2 linked regions of the Lonchura striata genome follow. The protein of the gene in region 1 binds, or shares a complex with, the protein of each later gene. Links are inferred from orthologs where the notes say so. Each region holds a gene or a part of one and is shown on either strand. Other genes may lie near its edges.

The links.
Region 2: the proteins of OBSL1 (region 1) and MYOM1 are in contact, whole or in part, in a crystal structure (PDB 5FM5), measured with the Homo sapiens proteins. The link is inferred for Lonchura striata from reciprocal best matches to the Homo sapiens genes OBSL1 and MYOM1. Residues at the interface, in NP_056126.1 of Homo sapiens: Pro243, Lys253, Phe255, Val257, Asn258, Gly260, Lys261, His262, Ala263, Lys264, Phe265, Arg266, Cys267, Tyr268, Val269, Met270, Gly271, Lys272, Pro273, Pro275, Trp279, Lys305, Tyr308, Tyr317, Cys319, Ala321, Arg322, Asn323, Ser324, Ala325; in NP_003794.3 of Homo sapiens: Arg616, Pro617, Ser618, Ala619, Pro620, Trp621, Thr622, Gly623, Gln624, Ile625, Ile626, Val627, Thr628, Glu629, Glu630, Glu631, Pro632.

Annotation. Positions count from the first base shown.
Region 1 is NC_134610.1:16,231,336-16,243,972, reverse strand, and holds the start of OBSL1 (obscurin-like protein 1), read left to right. Parts: upstream 1-6,194; coding exon 6,195-7,233; intron 7,234-7,998; coding exon 7,999-8,268; intron 8,269-8,474; coding exon 8,475-8,735; intron 8,736-9,069; coding exon 9,070-9,375; intron 9,376-9,460; coding exon 9,461-9,739; intron 9,740-9,835; coding exon 9,836-10,111; intron 10,112-10,239; coding exon 10,240-10,512; intron 10,513-12,637. Other genes in the region: INHA (inhibin alpha chain), read right to left, coding at 1,557-2,290, 3,166-3,532. UniProt on the Homo sapiens protein: Core component of the 3M complex, a complex required to regulate microtubule dynamics and genome integrity. It is unclear how the 3M complex regulates microtubules, it could act by controlling the level of a microtubule stabilizer.
Region 2 is NC_134603.1:49,284,246-49,296,381, reverse strand, and holds the start of MYOM1 (myomesin-1), read left to right. Parts: upstream 1-6,302; 5' UTR 6,303-6,441; intron 6,442-9,965; 5' UTR 9,966-10,028; coding exon 10,029-10,456; intron 10,457-12,136. UniProt on the Homo sapiens protein: Major component of the vertebrate myofibrillar M band. Binds myosin, titin, and light meromyosin. This binding is dose dependent.

The sequences.
Region 1 (12,637 bases):
CAGGCTGGGGGTCTGGCTGGCCAGGCCAAGCTGTGGGACAGAGTCCTGGGCTGGCATTACTCTTGGAGGGGGTGGGAGGGGTCCTGGTGGCACTGCGCTGCCACAAAATGACTTTGTGGCCTAAGGGGCTGTGCTGCACAGCATCCTGGCATGGGGCTATGAGTTGCGTGGCTGGCCTGCTTGGAAATGTCTGTGCAGAGGTCAGGGGCTGTCGTTCCCACTGCCTCCGCCCTGTCCTGGCAGGCTGCCCTTGGACCAAAACTTGTCTCCTCCCACTCTGGCTGCAGGGCTGGGACCCCCCTGCACAGAGCCAGACCCTGGCCTCACAGTGTGGGGACGTGGTGCCCCGAGCTGGGCTCGGCCAGGAGCCAGTGGAGCATTCCTCATCATCTCAGCCTGGGTCACATGGGGACTTTTGTAGCGTTGTTTTTTACTCGGAAATGATTGTCACTCTGTTTTTCTTTTTTTTTTAATATCTATATTAGTAAAGGCTGAAGACGTTTTGTACTGAACCGTTGCATCCGCTCATTCGGGAGGAAGGGGTGGGAAGGGAATCCTGTGTGTGCTGCCGTGGGTGCCTTGGGACCTCCCTGCTGCCCGGGGTGACTCAGTTGTTCCTGCCATGAGGAGGCGGCTGTGGTCGGGGCAGCCGTCATCGTCATCATCCTGCCGTCATCGTCATCATCCTGCCGGAGAGGGATTGCACTGGCCACATTCCTTTTTGGCCCTGTCACTGTCAAGGGGCCAGGTGAGGGGCTTCCCTCTGCCTCCCCATCCTCCCACCATCCCCATGTCTCTCCAGCCCCCTGCTGTCCCCGTTACTGTACAACTGTTGCCCAGAGCAGAAGGGATGTTGCTCTGCTCTGCACACCCCTGCCTGGGGCAGGATCAAACCCAGCCACACCCTGCCCATTTTGGCCAGCATACTCCAGTCCCTTCTCTGGTACCCCAAATCGGAGCTGGATGCCTCTAACAGTATTTGCCCATCCCCTCATTTCTCCATCTAGATAGAAGCAGACATTTCCAGGCTGCTTTAGAAAAGGGAACAAGTTTATTTCACTCATCCCATTTAGCTTTCCAACAAGCCATGCTGCTGGGAGAGGGCTCACTTGTGGTGCCACGTGTGCTGCCAGCCCTGCCACCAGTGTGAGGTCCTGGCATGGGCTCACCCAGGCACATCCTGATCCTGCTGCAACAGCCTGGCCCTGCCTGGAGCACAGGGGAAGCTGTTGAACTCTGCAGCAGGAGGAAGACACCAATCTTTGTGGGGGTGCAGAACTGCAGCAGGGAAGCAGGTGAAGAGAGATGAGGGCTAATCTGGTTGCAGGCAGCAGCCTGGCTTTGACAGGACAGTGATGCCTTTGCCGTAGGTTGTGCCTATCCATGCCCCGCCATGCCCTGATTTGCTCTGTGATGGTACCAGGGCCAGCCCAAAAGTCTGGCTTGTGCGAGGGAGGGTGGTACAGCCAAACTCCCCCATCCCAGCGGCCAGGGTTCCACTGGGAAAGCAACTCCTCCTGCGTGGGATCATGGTCCGGGCTGGGCTGCAGGACGCCCTAGACACAGGTGCAGTCCTGGGCCAGGATGTTGGGCACCGTCTCATACTTGAAGGAGTACCCGCCGTCGGAGGTGGTGCGGACGCGCAGGGAGCGCATGGTGCCGGGCAGGGCAGCGCAGCAGAGCTGCACGCCCAGCCGGTGGCTCAGCCCGTGGCCTGCAGCGCAGCTCCCGTGGCAGTAGTGGAAAACAAAGCTGCTGGGATGCACGATCCACTTGTCCCAGCCCAGCTCCTCGAAGGAGATGTTGAGGGAAGCCCGGCGACAGTTGGTGTGGGCAGCCAGCTCCTCAGATGGACGCTGCAGCAGGCTCAGGGCGGCCGGGGACCAGGGCATGGCAGAGCGACGAGCCCTCTCGCTGCCCTTGGCCCGGGTGGTGGCCACCAGGAAGGGCATCTTGTCCCCCTCAGGCAGGCAGGGGCAGCCAGGGCAGCGCACCAGGAGCACAAAGAGCGGCTGCCAGAGCTGGGGCAGCAGCACTGGGGCCAAGTGAAACACTGTCCAGTGCTCGGGTGTCCGCTCCGCCATGGCTGTCACCGGCACCCGGCCCTGAGGGGACAGGGTCAGCACCTCAGGGAAGGAGTGGTTGGGGGCAGCCGAGGGGCCCGTGTAAAACCAGAGCTGGGCAGAAGTCACCACACGGCTCAGGGTGTGTGCCGAGGGCTGGAAGAGGTAGGTGAAAATCCCTTCTTCCTCCAGCAGCTTGTCTGGCTGTGTGGGCTCACAGGGAACGTCTGTGGGGGGGAAAAGATGATCAGGGTCTGCACCCAGACCTGGGGAGAATCCCCAATGCCAAATCACAAGTGGGATGTTGCAGAGGTCCCTGGAATGCTGGCAGGGCTCCTGGCTGCTGGCATAGGCTGTGGCTGGGTGCAGAGGAGCCGGTGCTGTGCAGCAGCTTCTGTGCTGTGCCCCACAACTGATCTCTGCTATGCTCTAGGCTGGTCCATTACTGTCACCCCTGTCCCCCAGTATCCTCCCCCATAGCTGGTTGTCTTGCCCCTTTCCCCCAGAGACCACATCATGCCCTGTCCCCCAGCATTCACCTCATAGCTGGTAATCCTGTCCTTTTCCCCCACCTCTGCACCCTGACCATCTCCCTGCATCCTGGCCCATCTCCCAGTCCTGTCCCATAGTTGGTCATCCTGCCCCCTTTTCCCCAGCATGTGCATCCTATCCCATCCCCCAGCATTCTGCCCCATCTCCTGCTGTTATTGCTGGTCATCCTGCCGCATGCTTCAGCATCCTGCCCTGTCCCTTAGCATCCCAACCCACCTTCCAGTATCCTGCCCCATTCCCTAGCATCCCACCCTATTCCACCCTGCTCCTCATCCCTCTCCATGTCTCCACATCCTGCCTGGCCAGCTGTTTCCTAGCCTCTCAGCACCCTCTTGTGCTGCCTGTCCCTCTGCTGTCTGTCCTGAACTGTTCTGCTTGTCCATGCCTGCCATACCTTTCCATCTGGCTCTCCACCAAATCTCACTCATGCCCATGTCCCAGCCTGGCATACCTTCTTCCCCTTCTCCCACCACATCAGCCTCGCCATCCTTCAGCGTCTGCATTACTCCAACCCCCACCCTGCTTCACCCTTTCATCAGGATGTTCTCACCTGTGGCAGGGAATAAGATCACCTGGGAGGTGTCCTCCAGCTCCTCCGGCTCCACTTCAGTGTTTTCAAGAACGTCTCTCCGGTGTACCCTCCTTGCTTCCATCTGTGGCTCCTCCTGGAGAAGGGGGGGACTCAGATGTTCCAGCACCCGAGCCCGCACCTTGGCCAGGATGAGCTGCCGGTCGGCACCCGTCCCGGTGCAGCTGGCCAGGGCGGCGGTGGGCAGCATGGCAGGCAGCAGGTGCAGCAGCAGCAGCATGGCCGTGGGGCACACGGTGGGGTGCTGGCCTGGGGGGCTCTGCCGCGGGCTTCTGCCTGCCTGCCCAGCCCGTCTGCCCGCAGCGCTCCCCCCGGGACAGGGTGGCATTGAGATCTAGCTGACACTGACGCAAACGTCTGCTCGCCGTGAATATTATCTCTGAGCTGTGAAAGCGCTGAGACGTCTGGAATGCAAGGACTGCAAGGACAGTGTGGTCTGGGGGGCCGGCCCCCGGCCAGGGGGTGTGTGTGGGGGCTGCTGCCGGGAGCGGTGCGTGCGTGGGGCTGGGGAGGCCGGGCTGCGGGCAGGGTGGTGCCGGCAGCCGAAGCTGGCAGGGATGGAGGGGGTGCTGGGTGAGCTTTGCAGCTGCTGATGCGAGGTGCCTCCCATGGCGGAGGAGTGGAAGGTCTAGGGCTTCTGGGGAGCTAGTGGGAAGTGACAGCAGTTGTGCACGGCAGGGAAATCTGGGCAAGGACCTGGTGGGGATCAGAGGCCTGTGAGGCTCTGGCATGGGGGAGGCGCTTTGCAGGTGGCAGTCGCCAGGGCAGCCAAAAATGTGAGGATGGGGCCTTGGAAAGGGCAAGCTGAGGGACAGGGTGGTTGTGGCATCTCCATGACAGTCCATGACATCTCCATGACATGATTAGCAAGATCCTGGGGACATGAAGCAAGAGGGACGGCAAAAGGTCCTTGCTCTACCTGAGGCTGCAGAAGGCTGGAGAGGGGAGAAAAACAGATGAGACCTTCAAGGGGAGAAGAACAAATGAGAGGGGTGGGCCAGCTGGAGACCCTGCAGCAGGTCCAGGAGAAGGATCCTAGGGTGCTGTTTGGGCTGTCTAGCCATGGCTTGGCTCACAGGGTGGGAGTTGCAGGAGAGACATTGGCTGTAAGGAGACCCAGTCCCCTTCCTCTCACCACTGCCTGAGGGGACAGTGCCTATCCACTAACGCTGCATGTGCTGTGGATGGTGGGCAGCCTGTGCATCCCCTCTGTGCCTCTGGCAGCTCAGTGTCCTGCCCATCCCATCCAATATAGCCTGGCATTTCATGCAGCATCCAATGCAACACATCCCCCCATGCAGCATGTCCCGTGTGACACGTCCTATCTCACTGCAGTCTGGTGTCCAGCTCAGTGTACAGCACACCATGCACCCTGCACCCCATGCCACGCTCTCCACAGGGCACGTTGTCTCTCGCTGCTGGCTGAGCCGGCGCAGAGGCACAGCCGGGCCTGCAGCACCCCTGCAGCTCTCTGGGGTGGCTCCTGCTGGGCTGCTATACATAGGTAGGCCAGCCCAGCCTCGGTGAGGCGCTGAACGGAGCAGGCTCACTCTTATCAACCCCGCGTGTCATCAGAGGGTATTTTTGGGGACAGCAGCTGCAGGCATTTGTAACATTTGGTCCCTGCGCACTGACACCCAGAAGGGGAGCTGGGGGAAGAAGCAGGAGCTGGGTGCCGACACTGAGAGACACAGGGGAGAGGTGGCAGAACGAGGTACATGTGTGGGGCAGGGGTCTGGGCTGGGGGACTGCCTGGGGCAGGGAGGGTGGTTGGGGAAGGGAGTGGTTGAAGGGTGCAATGGTGCAGCCGAGCCATCAGAGCTGTCCGTTTGTGTCCAAAGGAGCTGCTGTGGGGTGGCCCAGGGGTCAGGGGCGTGTGGATGGAGAGATGAATCTGAATAGATTCACTGTCCCAGGGGTAGGGCTGTGGGAGGAGAAACTGGCCACAATCCCTGTCGCTCCTTGGGGACCAGCTCTCTCCTACCCTCTGGCTCATTCAAGAAGTATTTTTGTTTCCCCTCCCCCTGCCTGAGCAAGTCAGAGACGACCCTGCCCCAGTCCCAGCCATGGTGTGGGCAGAGGGTGGGTGCACTCAGCGGGGAGAGGCACACAGCACCCTGCCCTGCTCCTGCCCTGGTGGTGGGCACGGTTACCCACAAAGCTGGGGATGGAGACAGTGCCCTTCCATAGCAGGACCCACCTCCCTGGCTTTCAGCTTTCCCCTGGGGTTGATGATTTCCAGCTATGGTTTTGAGTGCACAAGGGCTGGATCCCGCCTGTGGGACTACTCTCTAGAACGGGGACCCCTTCCCCAGAGCCCCACTTCGCCCCAGGGCACTTTGCCCTGTGGGGTGGCCGCCCGGCACAGGGGGTCCCCTGCCCACCCAAGTCCGGGAGGAAGTCCCAGCCCGGGTCCAGCCGGGGCCTCGCGCCCGTGACAGCCCCGTGTCAGCACCTGCCCGCTGAGCCGGCCCAGATGCTGCAGGAATGCGGCTCTGCCACCACCCGATACTGCAGGAATGTGAATGCCCGGCGGGTGGGGAAGGGGCGGGCGGGGGCCCTTTTGCCTTCGCTGTCCCCCAGCCCCAGCACCCAGCAAGCAGCTGCCTATGCTCCCTGTCTAGGCCGGGGTCCCCCACCGCTGGAACTGGAGTCCCCTCTGCAACCCTGGGAAAGGGTGCAAGTGTCTCAGGCCCCCGGGGTGCAAAGAGCCACAATTTGTCACGTCTCCTATTGCCTTGGGCTGGGAAATGGATGGTTTGGGTGACACTGGGACAAATCCAGTGGGACTGCGCTGCTCTGGATGACAATGATGCTCAGGAGGTCCATGATGGGGATTTTGTGGGTCCCTCCTAGCTGGGGGCTCCACACTGGTCCATCTCTTCGATGGAGCCTGAGCCTCCACTGTAGTCTGTCTGTACATCCCCCCAGGCTGATGATCCCTGCTGCTGCTCCAGCCAGCTGTCTGCCGTGAGCCTGGGGAGTTGGTGATGGAGGGGTTCGGGGGAGCCCCCAGGTTCCTGGCCTATCCACGTGCCTTCACGGTCCAAAGTGGCACCAATGCAGTCCTGAGCTGCCAGATCATGGGTGATCCCCAGCCAAGCATCCTCTGGGAAAAGGACAAGAATACCATCGAGCCCTCGGGCCGTTTCCATATGGAGTCCAAAGGGGACCTGTACAGCCTGCTGGTGTCCTGTGCCACCCCCGAGGACAGCGGACTCTACGTCTGTAGGGCCAAGAATAGTGTTGGCGAGACTTACGCTGCCACCGTGCTCAGGGTAGAGCCAGCAGAGCCGCGAGAGGGGGAGGGATGCTCAGGCAGTGTCGCACCTGCCTTCCTCATTGCCCCCTCGTCCATGCGGGTGTGCCGGGGGGAGGATGTGATGTTCACCTGCAGGGTGTCTGGGCAGCCCTGCCCTGTGCTGGAGTGGGAGAAGGATGGGCACAAGCTCTCCGAACTCTTTGAGAGCAGCCACTTTGCAGTGGGGCAGAAACCAGAGGACTGGCACTTCCTGAAGCTGTTCGGTGCCCGGCCCCAGGATGGGGGTGTGTATGTCTGCCGGGCACGCAGCGGCTCCCAGGAGGCCCTGGCTGCCGCCGTGCTCCTGGTTGAACCCCAGGCACTGTTGGATGGGCTCCCCAATGGCTCCCCTGCCCACGGCCCCGAGGTACTGGCGGAGCGGCAGCGGTGGCGGCGGCACGCAGCGGGACGGCGCATGGCACCGGAGACCTGGGTGCCCAATGGCGTCGTGCCGGCCAGGGTGCCAGGGGCCAAGGCATTTGCTGTGAGCGCAGGGAAGCATGCCAAGTTTCGCTGTTATGTTACTGGCAAGCCCAAGCCAGAGATTATCTGGCAGAAAGATGGTGAACCTCTCGCCCCTGGCCGCAGGCATCTCATCTACGAGGACCGGGAGGGCTACTTCATCCTCAAGGTGCTGTACTGCAAACCTCAGGACCAGGGGCTATACATGTGCACTGCTTCCAACACTGCTGGCCAGACTCTCAGTGCAGTGCAGCTGCAGGTGAAAGGTAGGAACACGTCCAAGAAGTGTCAGAGGTGGCCAGGCTCTGGGGGGCTCAGGGAAGTTTGTCTGGCAGGGGTGTGTCTGTGTGAGAGCCCAGCATCATGGGGCTCCTTCCTGCCCTGTGCAGCCAGGGTCACCCCAGGCTCCTCAGGACAGAGCTGTGAGCTGGAAACAGGGGATGCTGGGCTTCTTCAGGAGCTGTGTCCTGCTCCGTGTCTCGCTTTCCTTGCAAACAGAGGTGTGGCTTCTCGGATGACTGCAGGTGTCCAGCCACAAACAGGGAAGAGGGACAGTGCCTTGGTGACAAATTTCCCTGGAAGTGCTGAGTGATTCTGGCAGCCAGCCCTGCAGGGCACGGCTCCAACAGTCTGCACTGGCAGCTGCCCAATTCCCCCCCGAGCCATCCAGCCAGCTGGGGACAGCCCATGGCTGGGGTTACCCAGGAACTGGTGCAGCCCCTGCCTACACCCCACTGCTCCCCTCCACTGAGATGCCTGCTGCAGTATGCTGGCTTCCATGCCCCTGCATCCCCCAAAACTCCTGCTGAGATACTGGAGGCATCCCTGTGTCTCCCCAGGCTGTGCCCTGGTCCTCCCTGCTCTGGGATATGTGCTTGTCAAGGCAGTGTCTGTCTCATGGAAGCCAAAGGAGAGGGCAAAGGAGGGACAAGAGTTTGCTGCTCTTTGTGAGCTGGGATCACCTTGAGCAAAGGGCTGACAGTGGATGCTGTACCCCACGTGCCCTAAGCTCCTGTCTCTTCCTGTGGCAGAGCACCGGCTGCGGTTCCAGGTGCAGCTGGCAGACGTGGAGGTAGCAGAGCGGGAGGATGCAGTGTTGGAGTGCCAGGTGCCACTGGAGACGATCCCCACCTCCTGGTACCTGGAGGACAGAGAGCTGCAGCCCAGCCACAAGTACGTGATGGAGGAGCAAGGGGTGGTGCGGCGCCTGACCATCCGCGATGCCCGCATCGATGACGATGGCATCTACCTCTGCCAGATGAAGGACAAAGGACGCAGCATTGCCGAGGTCTCTGTCCGAGGTGCGTCATGTCTCCAGCGGCACAGCTTTGCCTTCCTATTCCCCTCCTTGCCAGGGTCCTCACTGCTCCGTGCATTTGCCTTCCCTCCACTTGGCTGGTGCCTGCTGCTGCCCCTCCTCAACCTCCTCCTCCTCCTCTCCCACCTCAAAGAGCCCCATCCCGGTCCCCAGAATTCCTCCCTGGCCCTCATATATCTCTTCCCATAGGGGTGATTGTGAAGCGACTGCCACGGAAGCTGGATGTGATGGAGGGGGAGAATGCAGTTTTCTGTGTGGAGACACGGGATGTGGTAGAGGGCAGCTGCTGGAGCCGGGATGGGCTACAGCTGCGGGAGTCACCCCGCACCGTGCTTAAGAGCTTCAGCAGGACACACCTCCTGGTGCTGGTGCACGTCACCCGCCAGGACGCGGGCATCATCTCCTTCACTGTCGGGGAGTCACAGACATCCTCCCAGCTCCGAGTCAAGTGTAAGCTCCTGAAGGGGTCCTGTGTCCTCTCTCCTGCCTGTTCATGGGGGGTGATACAGAAGAGGGGATGGCATAGGCAGCCAATATGCTGGGGGTGTGATGCAGCAATGTGTTTTATGGGAAGGGGGCTTTGAGCAGAACTCCAGGATCCTAGCCTCACAGGCATTCACAAACCCCTGCAGCCAGCAGCATGCTACACGGGAGCAAGACCATCCTCTCCATCAGAGAGAGAATCCCCAAAGAAACAGGCTGTTACCCCCACTTATCACTTCTACCACCCCACCTAGAACCTCACTGCCATCCCCAAGCAGTCAGCGTGGGCTGTAACTTGCAGGTGTGAAGCACGACCCTCCGAGTGCACCAGTAGCAGCTGAGATGAGCGTGGTGGAGACTAACACAGCTCTGCTGACTTGGTGTCCTGCACCTGACTCCCACCTCCGCCCCGCCAGCCACTACCTGCTGGAGCGTCGGGAGGCAGCGGGAGGGGAGTGGGTGCAGTGCCTTGCCACCGACCTGCCCAGCTGCGTGCGGGTGCTGGGTGACAGCGTGCCTCGCGAGGCCGACTACTGTTTCCGCATCTCTGCCGCCAACAAGCACGGCAGGAGCAGACCTGTGGAGTTCCCTGGATCTGTGCATCTCGGTGAGGAGACAGGCAAAAGCTGGGATGTCGTGCTGCAGTGTGCTGGTAGTCAGTGCCACTGGGGCTCAGTCCGACTGTGCTCCAGCCCCAGCAGCTCGTCTGGAGAGGGGTCTGCAGGACACGTGGGTGAGGGATGGTGAGGATGCACAGTTCTCCCTGGAGCTGTCAGCTGCAGTGCATGGATCCTGGTTCCTCAACGGTGCCAGGCTGCGTGAGGAGGAGGATGCAGGCGGCCGGTGCAGTGTACAGCGCCATGGGATGGAGCACTCGCTGCTGATCCGAGGAGCACGACTGGTTGACAGTGGGGCCCAGGTCACCTTTGTGTCCGGTGGTGTGCGGGACTCAGCTATCCTGCATGTGCAAGGTGATCAGGGCACTCACCCTGGGATCCTACCAGGACCCCAGCAGCAGGGGCTGTCATGCTGAAGGATGCTTCTCACCGCTCCTAAATGTCTCTCAGCCCCACAGGTCCGCATTGCCCCAGTGTCTGAGGCTGAACGGCTCCGAAACGTGCCAGCAGGGATGCCTGTGCTGCTAGAGTGCCAGGTGTCCACCCCGGATGCCCCTGTCTGCTGGCTGAAGGACGGCAAGGCCGTGCCCCTGGATGACGTTATCGCGGTGCAGGCAGAAGGCTGCGTGCGGAGGCTGCTGCTCCGCTCAGCGTGTCCCTCAGACTCTGCTGTGTACACCTGTGACGCTGGGGATGATGCCGTGAGCTTTGTGGTGACCGTGACCGGTGAGCTGGGGAATGTGTGTGGCAGCCTGGCCCCTACCTCCTGACAGTGCTCCTGCCCTGCTTCTTACCCCCATCATGCAGCTGAAAGCTGCAGCTAGTCATGTTGAGGCCCACATTCTCCCTGGCAGAGGTGCCGGTGAGGATCATCAGCTCCAATGAGGAAGCCCCCCACGCCTACGTGGTCGGACAGCGTGTGGAGCTGTGGTGCCAGCTGTCCCGCCCAGCAGTCCCAGTGCACTGGTACAAGGATGGAGAGGAGGTGGAGGTGGGTGAGAGCCTGCTGCTGGAGCAGGAGGGGCCACAGTGCAAGCTGGTGCTGCCCTGCGCTCAGACACAGGACACAGGAGAGTTCGTCTGCGATGCTGGTGGGGACTCTGCCTTCTACACCATCACTGTGGCAGGTGCGTGTGATGCAGGAGGGCTGGTAGGGTCTCAGGGGGCTTTCTTTGCCAGTGCAGGATGCCACAATGCATGTGCTGGTGTCAGTATTGCTGTCACTTGCTGTGATGGGATATTTGTCAGACATGCTTTTGCTCGGTGCTCACCAGCAGTTTGGTAGGCTGCTCAGTTGGGGTCCTTGTGGGACTCAGACCAACTGCCAGAGGGAGCAGCTCACTCAGCCTGTTTGAAACACTAGAGCACACAAGAGCACCCAGCACCTGCACACCAGGGTGTTTGCCAGACTTCTGCCATGGCTAGTAACCAAGCCCTCCTCCAAGGTCCTAAAAATAGTGGGCCCAGCACCTGGCATAGGATGACTCATGGTTGGTCATTGCTCTGATGGACAGTGTTAATTGCTGACCTGAAAATTAACAGTTGCCTGGAGACCGATGGCTGGGTGGTGTTTGCTGGATGGGAGCAGGGCTCAGCATCCTGTGGCGGCTGCCCCAGCTGTGAAGCGGTTGCTGGCATCACTGGCTGGCAGAGGATAATGAAAGCTGAAAGCAAGTGAAAGGCTTCCCCTTGCTGGCCCCAGAATCCACATCCCACAACCACGGGAAGGCAACCAGGGGCAGAGCTAAAACCCAGTTGAAAGTTGATGTGACCACAATGGTAAAGCCTCACTGTGATGTTAACACATGGCAAAGGGCCAAAGTTGATGGCCAAGGATGTAGGAGTGAAGGTAGGATGAGTGATAAGAGATGCTGAAGAGTCAGTGGAGTGGTGGCTGCTGGAAGGGTGAGGAAGGGAGGGGGGTTTAGTGAGATAAAGGCAAAATTGTCAGTGGGAAGGACAGGCAGCATGGGTTTTGGGAAGAGGCAGGAGGTCGTGTGCTATGTGGGAGTGAGGGGCATGGAGAGCTCTGCTTCCCTAGACGGGGAGAGGGAACACCATCTGCTGAGGCTCAGACTTTTGGCTGAGCAGCTTTGCATCACTTTGACAGAAGGGTCTTAGGGAGGCTATCTTGGTTCAATCTGGATTTGGACATCAATGTCACCAGCAGGGCTGGGGGTGGGTGTCTGGAGGCTCAGGCTGACACCTCTCTGGCACAAGTGCCAGGCTGGCTGCTGCAGTCAAGCACTGTGTGGCATGCTTGGGTTTCCCTGAGGCATCTCAGCTATCCCCCATAGGGCTGTTGTGGCATGTAGCCTGCCTGCCTCAAGCTCGGCCATCCCAGCAGCCGCTGGGTTTTCCATCAGCTGTTGAGCACTGGAGCTCCCTCAGAACTAGTGAGAGGCTGAGGCCAGAGCGATGCTGCCTGCTGAGGGCTGGCACGTTATCCCCTCACTTCACTGCTGCTCAGCATCTCCAGCTGCACCTCAGCAATGTGATTGCTTTTAGCAGGTCCAGGGAGGGAGGCAGCTGCCAGTCGTTTGATCAGGGAGCTGGGCGGATGCAGGCTCAGCGTGCGGCAGGTTAATCGCTGCAAAGCGGCGCCGCACCGCTCCGCACGCTGCGGGGCAGCGGTGCGCTGCTGGGCCTGGGCAGCGCAGCCGGGAGCTGGCTGGGAAGCTTCCACCCGGACACACCGCATGGAGCAGCTGCGGGCTGTGAGAAGGGCAGGCTGCTGCTCGCCCACCACTGTGCCCCAGAGCTGGCTGTGCCTTGTGCCCGCACGGGCTCGATGAGTACCACGGCGGAGTCCAGGCCAGCTACGGCTGGTGCAATGTGCACGGCCAGGCAGGCAGTGCTGGCTGTAGGTGGCACTCTGAACTTCTCCCAAGAAAGAGGAGGGCTGATCACCGAAAATTTGTGCTGGGAGACCTTCTGTCTTTAAAGTTCTGACTCAATTCAGAGGGGTAGTGTGAGCAGTGGCACACATTTTATGTAGCAAATTAATGGTGATTTTAGTGATGACTGCAATCCAGAATTGAGTGCTGGGTCCCGGTAAGCTGCAAGCAAACCACATGCCTGTGCCACAGTATAAGCAAATGCCACGGCTGAGCCATGACAAAAGTGCTGGCTGGCACCTGGTGGCCTCTGAAATGGAGAGACAGGCAGAGGGAGGGCACACCCTGGGAAAGCAGCTGCAGGGGCTGGTGCTGGCACCACAGACAGTGGTTATCAGTGCTGGAGCTTGCCTAT
Region 2 (12,136 bases), on another chromosome or scaffold:
AGGTGATCAGTGTGCCTCCACATTAAATTGATGTGGTCATGCTCTTTCCTGTGAGAAGTGGTAGAAATACAAACACAAATAAGAGAAATAATCAGACACAGGGACAGAAATAAGTCTGCATAAGCACAACATTGACTTAATAGTTCACTGCTAAGTGTTTTCATTAGAAGGCTGGGCTTTCTTACTATGCCCATTATGCCTCATTTTAAAGCATCATCTGGGTTTTAACAGAGCCTTGATGACTTCAAGCTCTTGTGCTAAAAAATATTAATGAAATGCCCACACAGACATTGTCTAGAGATATATATGGAGGAGATTTATATTAACTAGTTCATTTGGACTAGCTATATAGTGCTAAGATCAGGTTTGGCTGAAAAACTCACCCCAAACTCATTAGCTCAGTAAATATGAGGTGAAAGAGTCCTGTGCTGAGCTTTGAATTGTCAAAGCTACTCCATCACTAACGTTGGATTTAGTTAATTAAATGTCTCATGGATAAATCTCCCTATTAGACCTGTTATCAGGGGGATAAAAGGTGCTCTGCTTTCTGAGCCAGCTGCTTGAGTAGGCAGAGAAGGATATTTTAATAGCTGACTTTCACCCCCCACCTGGCCCTTCCCTGCCTGTAAGTTGCTCTTGGTACCTTTTTCTAGTTCCACTACCTGCAGAGATTTCTCACTCTGGCAGTGAATCCACAGCTGCTTTTCCTTGGCAGCCCCAGCAACCAGTGAGGTTTTGGGCACATCTGGTGCCCATTTGGTACATGTATTCCTCTCAACATCCCTGCAGTTTGCTTAGTACTGAAAAGAGGTGTAAATCACTCACCCAGATGTCATTGCATTTCACTGGTGGAATACACAGGCACAGTACTTTGGAGGAGCACTTCTAAAATTTATTGTAGCTAAATGATCTGGAGGAGATAGATTTGCTACTTTAGGATTCATATTTTGCTGCTGTTGTTTAACCTTACACTGAATTATGAGGGTTTCTTTGGGTATAAAGATGCTGGGTTGTCAATGGCAATCATGAGAAATGAGGCAGGGGTCCTCTACTTCCTTCCAGTCACTAAGGGGAGAAGGCTGCTGCCACTTTGCTGGTGTGTCCAGCTGAGGGGTTGTTCAGTGGGAAGGGCAGGGATGTGCTAACAAGACATTCACAGTTTCTGCTAGAAAGCCAGTGTCGCTATAGGACACGTGAAAGCACGATGCGAGCCACCTGCTATTTGCAAGGTAAAGAAGAAAGTTTATTCTCTCAGTCCAACTTTTATGCTTTCCCAAAGGTGACATTAGATTGGAGAGTGAATGGGCCACCTCTCCAAAGACATTGTACAAACCACTAGTACATCAAGTTTCTCCACCCCCATAAAAGAATGCAAAACAATATGTTGTTTATAGAAATTGTGTGGGAAAGTTCTCCAACAGAATGTAAACTCAGAAGGCTTTAGAAAATCTTAAGAATCAGGGCGACAAGCCAGGAACAAGCTATAGCAAGAAAAAGACAAATGAGGAACTAGAAATATTCAACAGTTGATAAGCAAATCCCAGTTGATTTTCAGGAAGTCAGTAAAGGCTGAACTATCATCTGTAGGTATAGTGTTATACTGAATTCTAGAATTTTACTGTAAACAGCTATGTAATTTTTTTTTTTTTTTAATAAAGGGCTTTGTTAAGCCACCACAACTTCTCCTATAAGTCACTTGAGCTATAAGATAATAAACTAGTTAAGCAACAGAGGTTAAGGTGAAACATCCCCTGGAAAGGATATTGAAAACCTGTCCACTTTGATTTCTTGATTGTTTTCCTGACTATCCAATACTAACCATCATCAGACAGAAAACCAATCTTGCCCTCCAATCTTTGAAGCATCTTATTTTAGTTCATGCCAGTCCCTTTTGTTGAGTCTCCAAACTTAAAGTTGTTCAGAAAGGAAAAAAGACCTTGTCCTACAGCATGGATGGAGAAACCAGAGTATTGGCCCATTACATAAAAATCAGGATTAATCCATTTCAGAGTTAAACATACAGCTGCCTTTGTGAAATATAACTGCACTGAAGTCTGAAGTCACCAGCTATAGCAGATTTTTTAAGTTACTGAAAAAAACTATTCAAATAATTTGATTAACTCTGAATATTTGTGAAGTCCTGGTGGGTTTGGCAATTGTCTCGTAATCAATTGGTGTTTGGACTATGCTGTTTATGTTTGAATGACTTCATTTAAAGTTAAATCACACCTGGGAAATAATCACCAAAATTATCTTTGACCTGCATGTCCACCCATCAGATCCTAATCTCAGTTCCTTCTGTTCTTCAGTGTACCTCCTTAATTTCTTTAAATACTAAACAGTCTAATGTTCACCTCTTTGTCTTGATCAGGTTGTTTTGCATTCACCACCAATTTCTAGAAAACTTTCTTACTCATGATTGATGTTTGAAATTTGAAGGTCTTTCCTGTGGGGAGTGTTGAATAAAGCAATGTATGAATTTCTGATGCAAATACTTCTCAAAACTTTGTTCAATTGTTTGAGCCTAATTGTTATATCAGACATAATTTCCAAGGGTGATGGCTAAAGAGCTAAAACTATTTGTTTCTTCTATTAAGACATAGCCACTATCCTTTTAAAATAAACATTTGATTAATTCAAAAGTATTTCATCAATTAATGTGAGGACAAAAAAAAAAAAGAAAGAAAAATGTGCTTGTGTAGTGGATACATTTGTGTTGGCTGTGCCTGAATGATTGTGGAAATGATTATTGTAATATCTGAAGCAATTGCTTTGTATTATTGCAATAGTAGTTTACACTGCAGTAAAATGATATCTACAGATTGTTTTCTTTATAATGACATACTTCAGTTACATGGGCTATGGATAACAGAAATGGGGCTGACAATCACTATAAAGTCACTGGTTTTAGTGCTCCCCCAGGGGCCACTGGAGCTCCCCACAGGCTCTATCAGGACCTGGCAGTCAGTGCCCATCCCACTGCCCCAGTCCCAGACACTGGGCACCTCTGTTTGGTCAGTATCCTGCCTAAACTATTTAACTCATATTTTGAAGTATATTACCTGCTTCTAAAAGCTGCATGCCTAAGTGGCAGGAGCTCAGATATTGTGCCTCAGTCAAGTTTTCTGGGTTTGAGTTATCTGCAGTTGCAGATAACAGTTACCAGGTACAGCTCTGGTCCTTCAGCAATCATGTGTCAAGGTGTTTTGGCCAGTCTTTCCAAGGTACAAAGCAAAATACAACAATGATATTAACAACTATCCATCATTATTGGAATAAAGGTATTGAAAAATCTGTGATGTTTAGGAAAGAATGATAAAATGTGGGAGGACATTTGACAACCATCTGTTTTGATATGAAAGTTAAGATGACAGGAGATACTAGGGATTAAAAAAAAAATCTAAGTGCCAAAAGCACTTACTTAAAGAAATTATAATAATTTTCTTTTGGAATAATCTGCTATATGCTCTTGAGGTAAGGTTTTATTATGGACAGAAACCTTTTTAATGTTACAAAGGAAAAGAAATGCTGTTAGCAGGAACATTTTTATGTGACATTTCCAGTTCCAGAGAGACGCTGCAGAATAAATGTTGCTAATAATGGTAAGGCAAATATTTCTCTATGATGAAAAATTGATCTAGGCACCAGCAGTCAATAGTTTGAGAGGATTTGGAAAAATTTCTACCCATATCAAGGAGACAGTGGTCTTGTACTTCGTTCTTCAGGTGTGAGCCCAGACACTCAAGCTGTTGTAGGCTGCAGTCAGATCCTTCTGTTAAAAGGTTGACTCCTTGTTAAATATATGAGCTGAGAGTGATGCAGAGAATCAACAGAAGCCTGGATATTAATATCTTCTTATGGGTGAAGGTAGGGAACACAGACCTCCCTTCCCTTCAGTGGGTTATGAATATGCCTAGTTGGAGTATAATGGACAATAGCAGATCTTCCTAAAGCAATTTTTCTTCTTGATAAAAATCAATTCAGAAAACTAGACCCAAGTTTGAAAGCAAACTCCAGAAGACAACCCACATGCTCAAAGCCTCTGTTCTCCAAAAATTGTTTTGCTAGATTTATTTAAGATTAAACTCAAATGAAAGAGATGGACTGGGATGATGTGGAATTTGACTTATGCCCACAGCTACAGGATGCTATAACTCTCAAAACTTCAGGTGACAGTCTGGAAAGGTTTTTGTTTTGTCATGTTGGGCTCTAAATTAATATAATATAAATTAATGAATATCTTTACCATACAGAAAAACAAACTGGTCTCTAGCACTATGTAGTTCTAATTAGGAGAAGACAGAACTAGTATTTCCTAAGGGTGTCTCTCCCAAGCCCAATGTAACTAAATACATGTGGATATAGAATGCTGCAGGGATTCTGAGGCTTGCAGAGCTCCAAGTGATTTAAAATATGTACTTTGATACTCAAATAGGAGTTCAGTGATTTGAAATTAGCTGTGGATATTATCTCATAATAAAGCTAGATCTGAAATTGTGTAAATTTAAGGGGCAAAATAATACTAAATATTTTGCTGTTACACTATATCTCCATTTTATTTACAGAATAAATGGAGGCAGCACAGAATTTGACAACTGTATTGGACTTCATAGTGCCATTGTGCCTTACAAAAATACTGAAAATGTTGTTCAGATTTTTATCCCCCACATGTGAGCTGTACAGATTGTCTTGCAATTAAAGCAGAGAAGTGTGATATTTAATTGCTTTCATTTCTCTCCATTTTCTTGTATTCTTAAAAAGCAATTTGCCTGTCATTAAGACTTCTACAATATCAGTGCAAATGACCCATGGTGAAGGAATGGATCAGGGTTTGTACTTCAATCCAGGAGTATGTCCCCTGAGGCTCCATCTACTCTAACTAAAAATATACATTATAGCCTGGAACCTATAGCTCAGTGGCGCTGCTCCTGGCACAGTATTCTGGGGGAAGAAAAGCTTGCATTAAGGTTCCCATTTTTCACTCTGACTGTTGCAGATTTGGGCAGTTTCCTGACCCACAATACAGTTTCTATGACTGCACAGCTTTTTGCTGGCCATGGTTTCTGTCCTCATGATCAAAAACCAAAAGCCCCTAAGTTTGGTGCACCTGAGCAGCTCCTGGTGTGGGAGGTAAAGAGGCTTCTGAACTTACTGCATGGTGGAGCATCAGGCAGGAGGCAGTGGCTCCCCAGGGAACAAGTAGCTAGTGGGGACAACGAAGGGATTGCATGTAGAATCAAGACAGTGAGGTGAAGAAGAAGGTACTGATGAACTATTGTAGAGAAAAGCCTGGGGTCCTCTAGCCTTATCCAGACCATCTTCTGGTGGTTACACCCATAAAGGGGACAGTGCTAGGAGAACAGGAGGATCTGGAAAGTTCTTGGTTGTGTTCTATGGCAAGTGTGAAAAGAAGCTATAGCAGAACTGAGAGGGTTAATGCAAATGAACAAAATAAAATGCACTCATCACTTTTATTTAAAGCTAAATTTACAGTGCAGAGATAAATTGTATTTACAATGAAGTCACACTGCATTCCTACTATTAGATCTCAGATGACAGAACTCATTCTGATGTAATATTCAGCCACACAGATTACTCATTTTCATGCCAGAATGCTGGGACCAAAATGGAAGAAGACAAGCCCATTTAATTATTCTTAGAGGTAATACTGCTTAATTTAGAAACAAAAAGTCAGATTTTAGAGCTGCATTGTTTATATCTACTTAAATGCCTCATGTGGTCATGTTCTTAATTTAGCATTTTATCTTAAAGAAGACGATAAAAAAGTAACACTGTCAACAGAACAAAGAAAATACATTTCCGTTCAAATGTAACTCATATGACTTTAGAGAGTCTTGATAGATTGTCTGTCATTAAGCTGAAATATTTATACTACCTGTACTGTGGTTTGGCATTAAAAAAAAGAACCAATAAAATGTTCAAATTCTTGTACCAGAGCAAAGGTCAACACAGGCATTGGTCTTTCCTAGTTTCTGGTTCATGACACAATTTTTTTTTTCTCTCCTACTAAATCTGATTTAACTAAGGAAAAAAAAAATCCTAGAAATAATTTTGAAGTGGAATGCTGATTTTATTCAGAATTTAGTGAGGATATTTTAAGGGGAGAACTCTGTATCTCCTTTAGTTTGAAGCTGCTGTCACCATGTCTTTGCACAGAGATAGTACAGGGTATCGGTATCTGTCTCTGTCTCTCTCCCTCTTCCATGCTATATTTATAGCATCCCCCTGGCCATAAAAGGTCTGGACTGGGGCTCTGACATTCCACTGACTGCAGGCATTATTTTTGTTCTGGACCTTGAAGTCCAGTCCTTACCCCTCGTCGTAACTACCTCTTTCTTTGCTGGCTTCATTGTTGCTGTATTTTTGTTCTATTCATCCGCTTCAGAGCTCTTCCATTTGCTGCCATTCATTTGGATCCTGGTAAGTGGTTTTTTTATGCCAGAAGGTTTTACATGTTCAATTATTTTTAATCTGAATCTGTAATGCCAAGTTGATAGTAGTTCCCTTTATTCTTCTTAGCTCAGCTGTTGAGGGATTTGTGGATGTGAATTGAAGACATCTGAAGGTTCAGCTGTGAACCTGAAAGAAAGTAGTGCAGGGGCCCTTTTATTTTCACTCAGCTATCTTTACATATTGTCACAGTACTCTCAAATGAAGCATGGGTTACTGAGATACAGGAGGAGTTTGTCATGTCATCCTGAGGGCTTAGAGAAGGTTTAAATAACATAAATATTTTCTTGTTGCTTAGGATCTTATCTTTGCTTACAAGAGTTTCTTTTTTTAAATCTATTTCACTATTTTCATTGATTGATGGAGTAGATCTTTAAAGAATTACACAGACTGATAAACAGCACTAGAGGTGAGGCCAGCTTCCTTTAATGTGTAGCTATGAACTATGGACAAGTAGAGAACTGTCTGCCTGCTCAGTAGTAATTTTAAATATTCAGTTCAATAGCTGATAAAATATAGTTCCAAAAACTGTGAATTCATCTAACTATGGCCACTAATGTTTTTGGGCTAAGCTCTGAAGTTGCCCTCACACTGAAGGGGCTGGTTGGTGCATGCAGACTATGTGGGTGCATGTATCATAGATAAAACTTAGGAGATGGGAGTCAGTCTGACAATCAGGCAGTGCTCCAGAGAGGAGAAAAGTCCCTGGAACTTTCTGAGTTACTTGTCATCTCCGATAGCATCACACTGCTGTATCTGATCAGACTAATGTAACCAGCTTATCCTGGCCTGTGAGCAATCCGTGATGTTTCAGAGGAAATATAAAACATAACACAGACTATGATAAAATGCCTGTTAAAGGAGTTTCCTTTTACATGATGTAAGTCAATGCTGGTCTTTGATTAGATCATTAGAGCTGACTTAGTTAGTGTTCAGTGCCTGCCTTGCTATAATAATCCTTACTTCTATCACAGACTTTTACTCCTGAGGACTGTGAGACAGTCAGTGAGATCTTTCATGTTTGGAAGAAAAATGTTTCCTTTTAACTTGTTCTTTTGGTCTGATAAAAAGTAAATTAAATGCCTTGTTTAACTTCTTAATGGGCAACACACACAGTGCTTCATACTTGTGGATCACCTTCCATGCTTTGAAGCCTGGAAGATTTTGGGCATGCCTGAGCTGAATGTCTGTTAGCATTGTGGCTGTTGTATGAATGATGCAGCCAGCCAACACTTCAAATAAAGCTGGTGAAGATGCACCATAGTACTCTGCAGAAGGAAAACAGGATGTTCTCATGTTCCTTTCCTTTCAGTGTGCAAGACAATATTCTTCTGTACACCTTAACCTTCCTAGGCAGTGATCACAATGACTTACAAGCCCTAAACCCAACTCTGCAGAGGTGGAAGAGGGAGACAACACAGAAAAATTAAGGAAAAAATCTTCTGAAACTAGGGAAATTAAGAGGAATTACATACTACCAGTAGCTTACTAAGTGAAATAAGTAACAACAGAAAATACTGACAGGTACTAGAAACAAGAATGCTAGACAGCATAATTGCATTCTTTTAGACTGACATGAAAAAATAACCAGCATTAGGAATAAGAGAGCTAAAAAAGAACATCAGCTTTTGCCATAGAGACCAATGGGCTAACACTCTTTCTCATTTCTCCTTCTTCCTCAGATAAAAATAAAGTAAGTGTATAATTTGGTCTCCTTGAAGTCTCATAGTTTCTGTTTGGTCAGGATATCAGCAATTTCTTTTACATAAAAAGTTTCTGAATAAATTTCTTCCTTGTTGACTTCCTGAAGCTAAAGTTATCCTACAAGGAGCATTTCCCTTGTGAGATCCCTGAAATATAAGAACATTTTGGTTTTGGTTTTCGTTTGGTTTGGGTTTTGTTTCTGGGGTTTTTGGTGTTTTGTTCTTTTTTTTTTTTATCCATAATTTGCCTTGGTGAGGGCAAATACCTCAGCAGCTTTCAAAGAGAATTGTTTGAAATTTGTTGACTTGCTTTCAGAACCAAATACTAAAGGAAAAGCCAAGGACTGAAATCTAGGGGGCATAAAGACCAGCAGGGGAAAAAAACCCCACAGAATAGCAGACTATTCTGAACTGGAAGGGACCCACAAGAATCATCAGCGACCAATTCCTGTCCCTGTGCAGGACAACCCAAATTGGATATCTATACTTTCATGAAGTCATGATTATCTTACAGTTCTGTAAATGTATTTTAAGTCCAAAAATTAAATAGTTTTTCATTAGTATGAAGAAATCATGAAGCAGAACAAATTTCCTACTGTTGTGATCAATTAAAAAAAAAAAAATACTCAAAGCAATAACAAACACCTCTCACTCTTGTTTTTTGATCTTCTTTAAATCCTTGTTAACACTTCCTTATTGTAGGTCATTTCTATTACTAATGAGAGACCTTTTCAGAGACAATCCTAGTAGCCATGTGAGCCTAAGAGAAAGAGAAAGAAAGGTTATCATATGGATTACTTGAAGCAAGCTTCCATGTCAAAGTAGAAAAATCAGTTATAACAATAGCAAAATAAAAATGCAAAGTAATGACTGAACTGCTGGTTTTAAAACAAACAAACAGACAAGGGAAATTCTTTCTGCACTCAACTTTCATCCCACTTTGAGAGGGGAACTACCTCTCACCTGATCAGAATTTGCACTACAAGTGACTAAAGATAATCAACTGATGATGTGCAAACTAGAATTAAATGGGTCTATCATCTGGACAAAGGGTCTTGGAAACCTTGAATATGATATTTTAGGTTAAAAGAAAAGGATTTGCATTGAGGAACATGATAATATTTTAACCATTGCATACAGGCTGGATCCCTGATTCAACTGTAAAAGAATAATGCATAATAAGCTCTTTTAAATTGAACCCTGGTATCATGTACAAAACAATTACTATAATGCACATTTAAAGAAAAACTGACTTCCTTCTCAATCTTAGTGTTTCAATTCACTGTTGTAATCATAAATGGAAGATTAAATTCAATCTGAAAATTGGATTACAAAAATAAATGAAATGTTCATATATTTTTGTTTCAGCTTTTATAGGCTCATTGGATTTGCTCTTGCCTTTAAAAATAATTCATTACTTTATTATCTCTATTGTAATTGAACAAAATTCTTTATACTATCTCTGAAGAAGCGAGGCACACAGACTTTCATTAGTTTGCAGTAATAAGTGAGCACATAAAACGTGAATAGTTTGCAGTAGCAGGGAACCAACTATAAATGAACAGACACAAGAGTGCAAAGGTTTCTGGTCATGATGGGTGACATGAGCATCTTGAAACTTGAATATGAACCTGTCTGAAAGTCTAAATCACATCATAAAAAGATAACTCTAAATTCATTGGAGTTGATTTTTCAAGTTCAGTGTTAGTTTGTGTGAAGTTGGGTTTATTTGTATGCTAACTCAGGAGTTTCCTTGACAGTAGTCCTTATGTTTGACCTATTCTTTTTCAGACATTATCCTGTTTTTATTTGCACTCAGAAAAGTGCAGCAAAACCCAAAATTCGAAGGCATCCATGATGTCTTTACCATTCTACCAAAGACACCACGAGCACTATGACCGTGCGTACCGCCACAAAGCGCTGTCGTCCACTGTGAGCCAGTACCAAAAGGAGACAAAGAGCAAATCTGCCCTCTATGCTCAAGGATCTGCTGCTTACGCCAGGGGCTCTGCTGCCTACCGCCACTCGTCTGCAGCAGGCTTCAGCCTTGAATCCTCAGCAGCTTACAGCCATGGCTCTTCAGCCCACGACCTGGAGTCGGCAGCCTACAGCTATGGATCCACAGCCTACGACCACTCTGCCGCGCAAAGCAAGAGATCTGCTGCCTACAGCCTTGACTCCGAGTCCCTCAGCACCAGCTCAGCTGCCTACAGCCACGCATCTGAATCCATCAACAAGCTGGCTGCAGCCTATCGGCTGGGATCTGAAGCCTACAGTTTTGGGTAAGATAATCCATCTTTGAAACAGCATCCTGGTAGAAAAATATCCAACCACCTCCCATTGAAAACAATGGCAAAACTCTCCTCCTCATCCACATAAAGTTTCTCTATAACATAAAATACATGAATGTATTTTCCTGGTCAGGTGTTTTCCCTTGGCTTTGGCAATGGGAAGGACTGTGGTCAGCTTAGTTTGTTGAACAAATCCATGAGTGATTCTTGGACTGTTGTAAGAATAGGATTGGAAATGCTGATGTGGCTGAATGCTGACATATTCACACTCCAGATGGTTAAGCATGAGCTGCCTCTCCTTCCAAGTTCTTTAGTCACGTTAATACAGCTGAATTTAATACGAAGAGTTGAGATAGCTTTGGATTGAGTCTGTCTCTTATCTGGCAAGGTTGGAGTAGTATAAGAACTCAAAGCTCTTCATGAAAGTTTGAGTTGATGTGTCCATATATGATTAATTCTTCTTTGGCCTAATAGTTTCACTTTTGTGCTGAGTGGTCCAAGAAACTGAAATTTTCACACTGTATATTGGTTGATGCATACTATTTCCAAAGTAGAAACAACCTGAAGTGTCCCATCTTACAAGAGAAGAATAGCTATACTCAGCTCTTTTTTTTTTTAAATTTAAGATCATAAATATTGCTCAAGCAATTACATTAGCATAATACTTTGCTATAATAGCCTCATAATATTTGTATGCATATATATCAGAGATTTACAGAAATTAAGGAAGTATTAAAGTAAGATTAGAGCAGCTGTTAGCAATAGAGGAAACAATCAACAAATTATAGCTCAAAAACATCTGCTTGCTGTTATATTAATGCAAAATTAAGAGTATCATTAGCAGAACTGATCAAAACTTGTCCACCAGAAAATTTAAAATTTAAAACTGAATATTCTCCCCAGACTGTGGATAATGGTGAAATCTTGGCCAAAATCAATGAGAGAAAGACTACATGTACCACAGTAAACAATACCTTGTGATTTCAGCCTTCACTGAAATCTTGGCTTTCAGGAAGCTCAGGGTCCAATCTCTATTTGCCCTGAGTGTTTTCAGGAATTTGATCCTCAGGCTGTTAAAGTCAAGGTGAATGACTTTACTTAACTCTTTACTGCAAGAAAGATATTGAGTTGCTGGAACATGTCCAAAGAGGGGCAACAAACCTGATGAAGGTTCTCAAGTACAAGTCTTATGAGAAACAGCAGAGGGAAATACAGTTATTTATCTAGGAGAAAGGGATACTCAGGGGAGACCTTATCACTCTCTACAGCTGTCTGAGAGCGTAACCAGGCAGGCCTTGATCTCATCTCCCAGGGAATCAGACAGGATGAGAGGAAATGACCTCAAGTTGCACTAGGGGAGGTTTAGATCAGATATTAGGAAATATTTCTTCACTGAAAGGGTGGTCAGGTATTGGAATAGGCTGACCAGGGAAATGGTGGAATCATCATTCTTGGAAGTGTTCAAAAACGTGGCACTTAAGGACATGGTTTAAGGGTGGGTTTGGCAATGCTGGGTTACTGGTTAAACCTGATGATCTTAGAGGTTGCAATGATTTTATGATTCTGCATTGTATGATTCTGTATTCTGTATGATTGTCTTACGGTCTGATCATATCCAGGCTTTGCTGTTGAAACAAGTTTACTTGTGCAGATAATTTACCACTGAGAAAG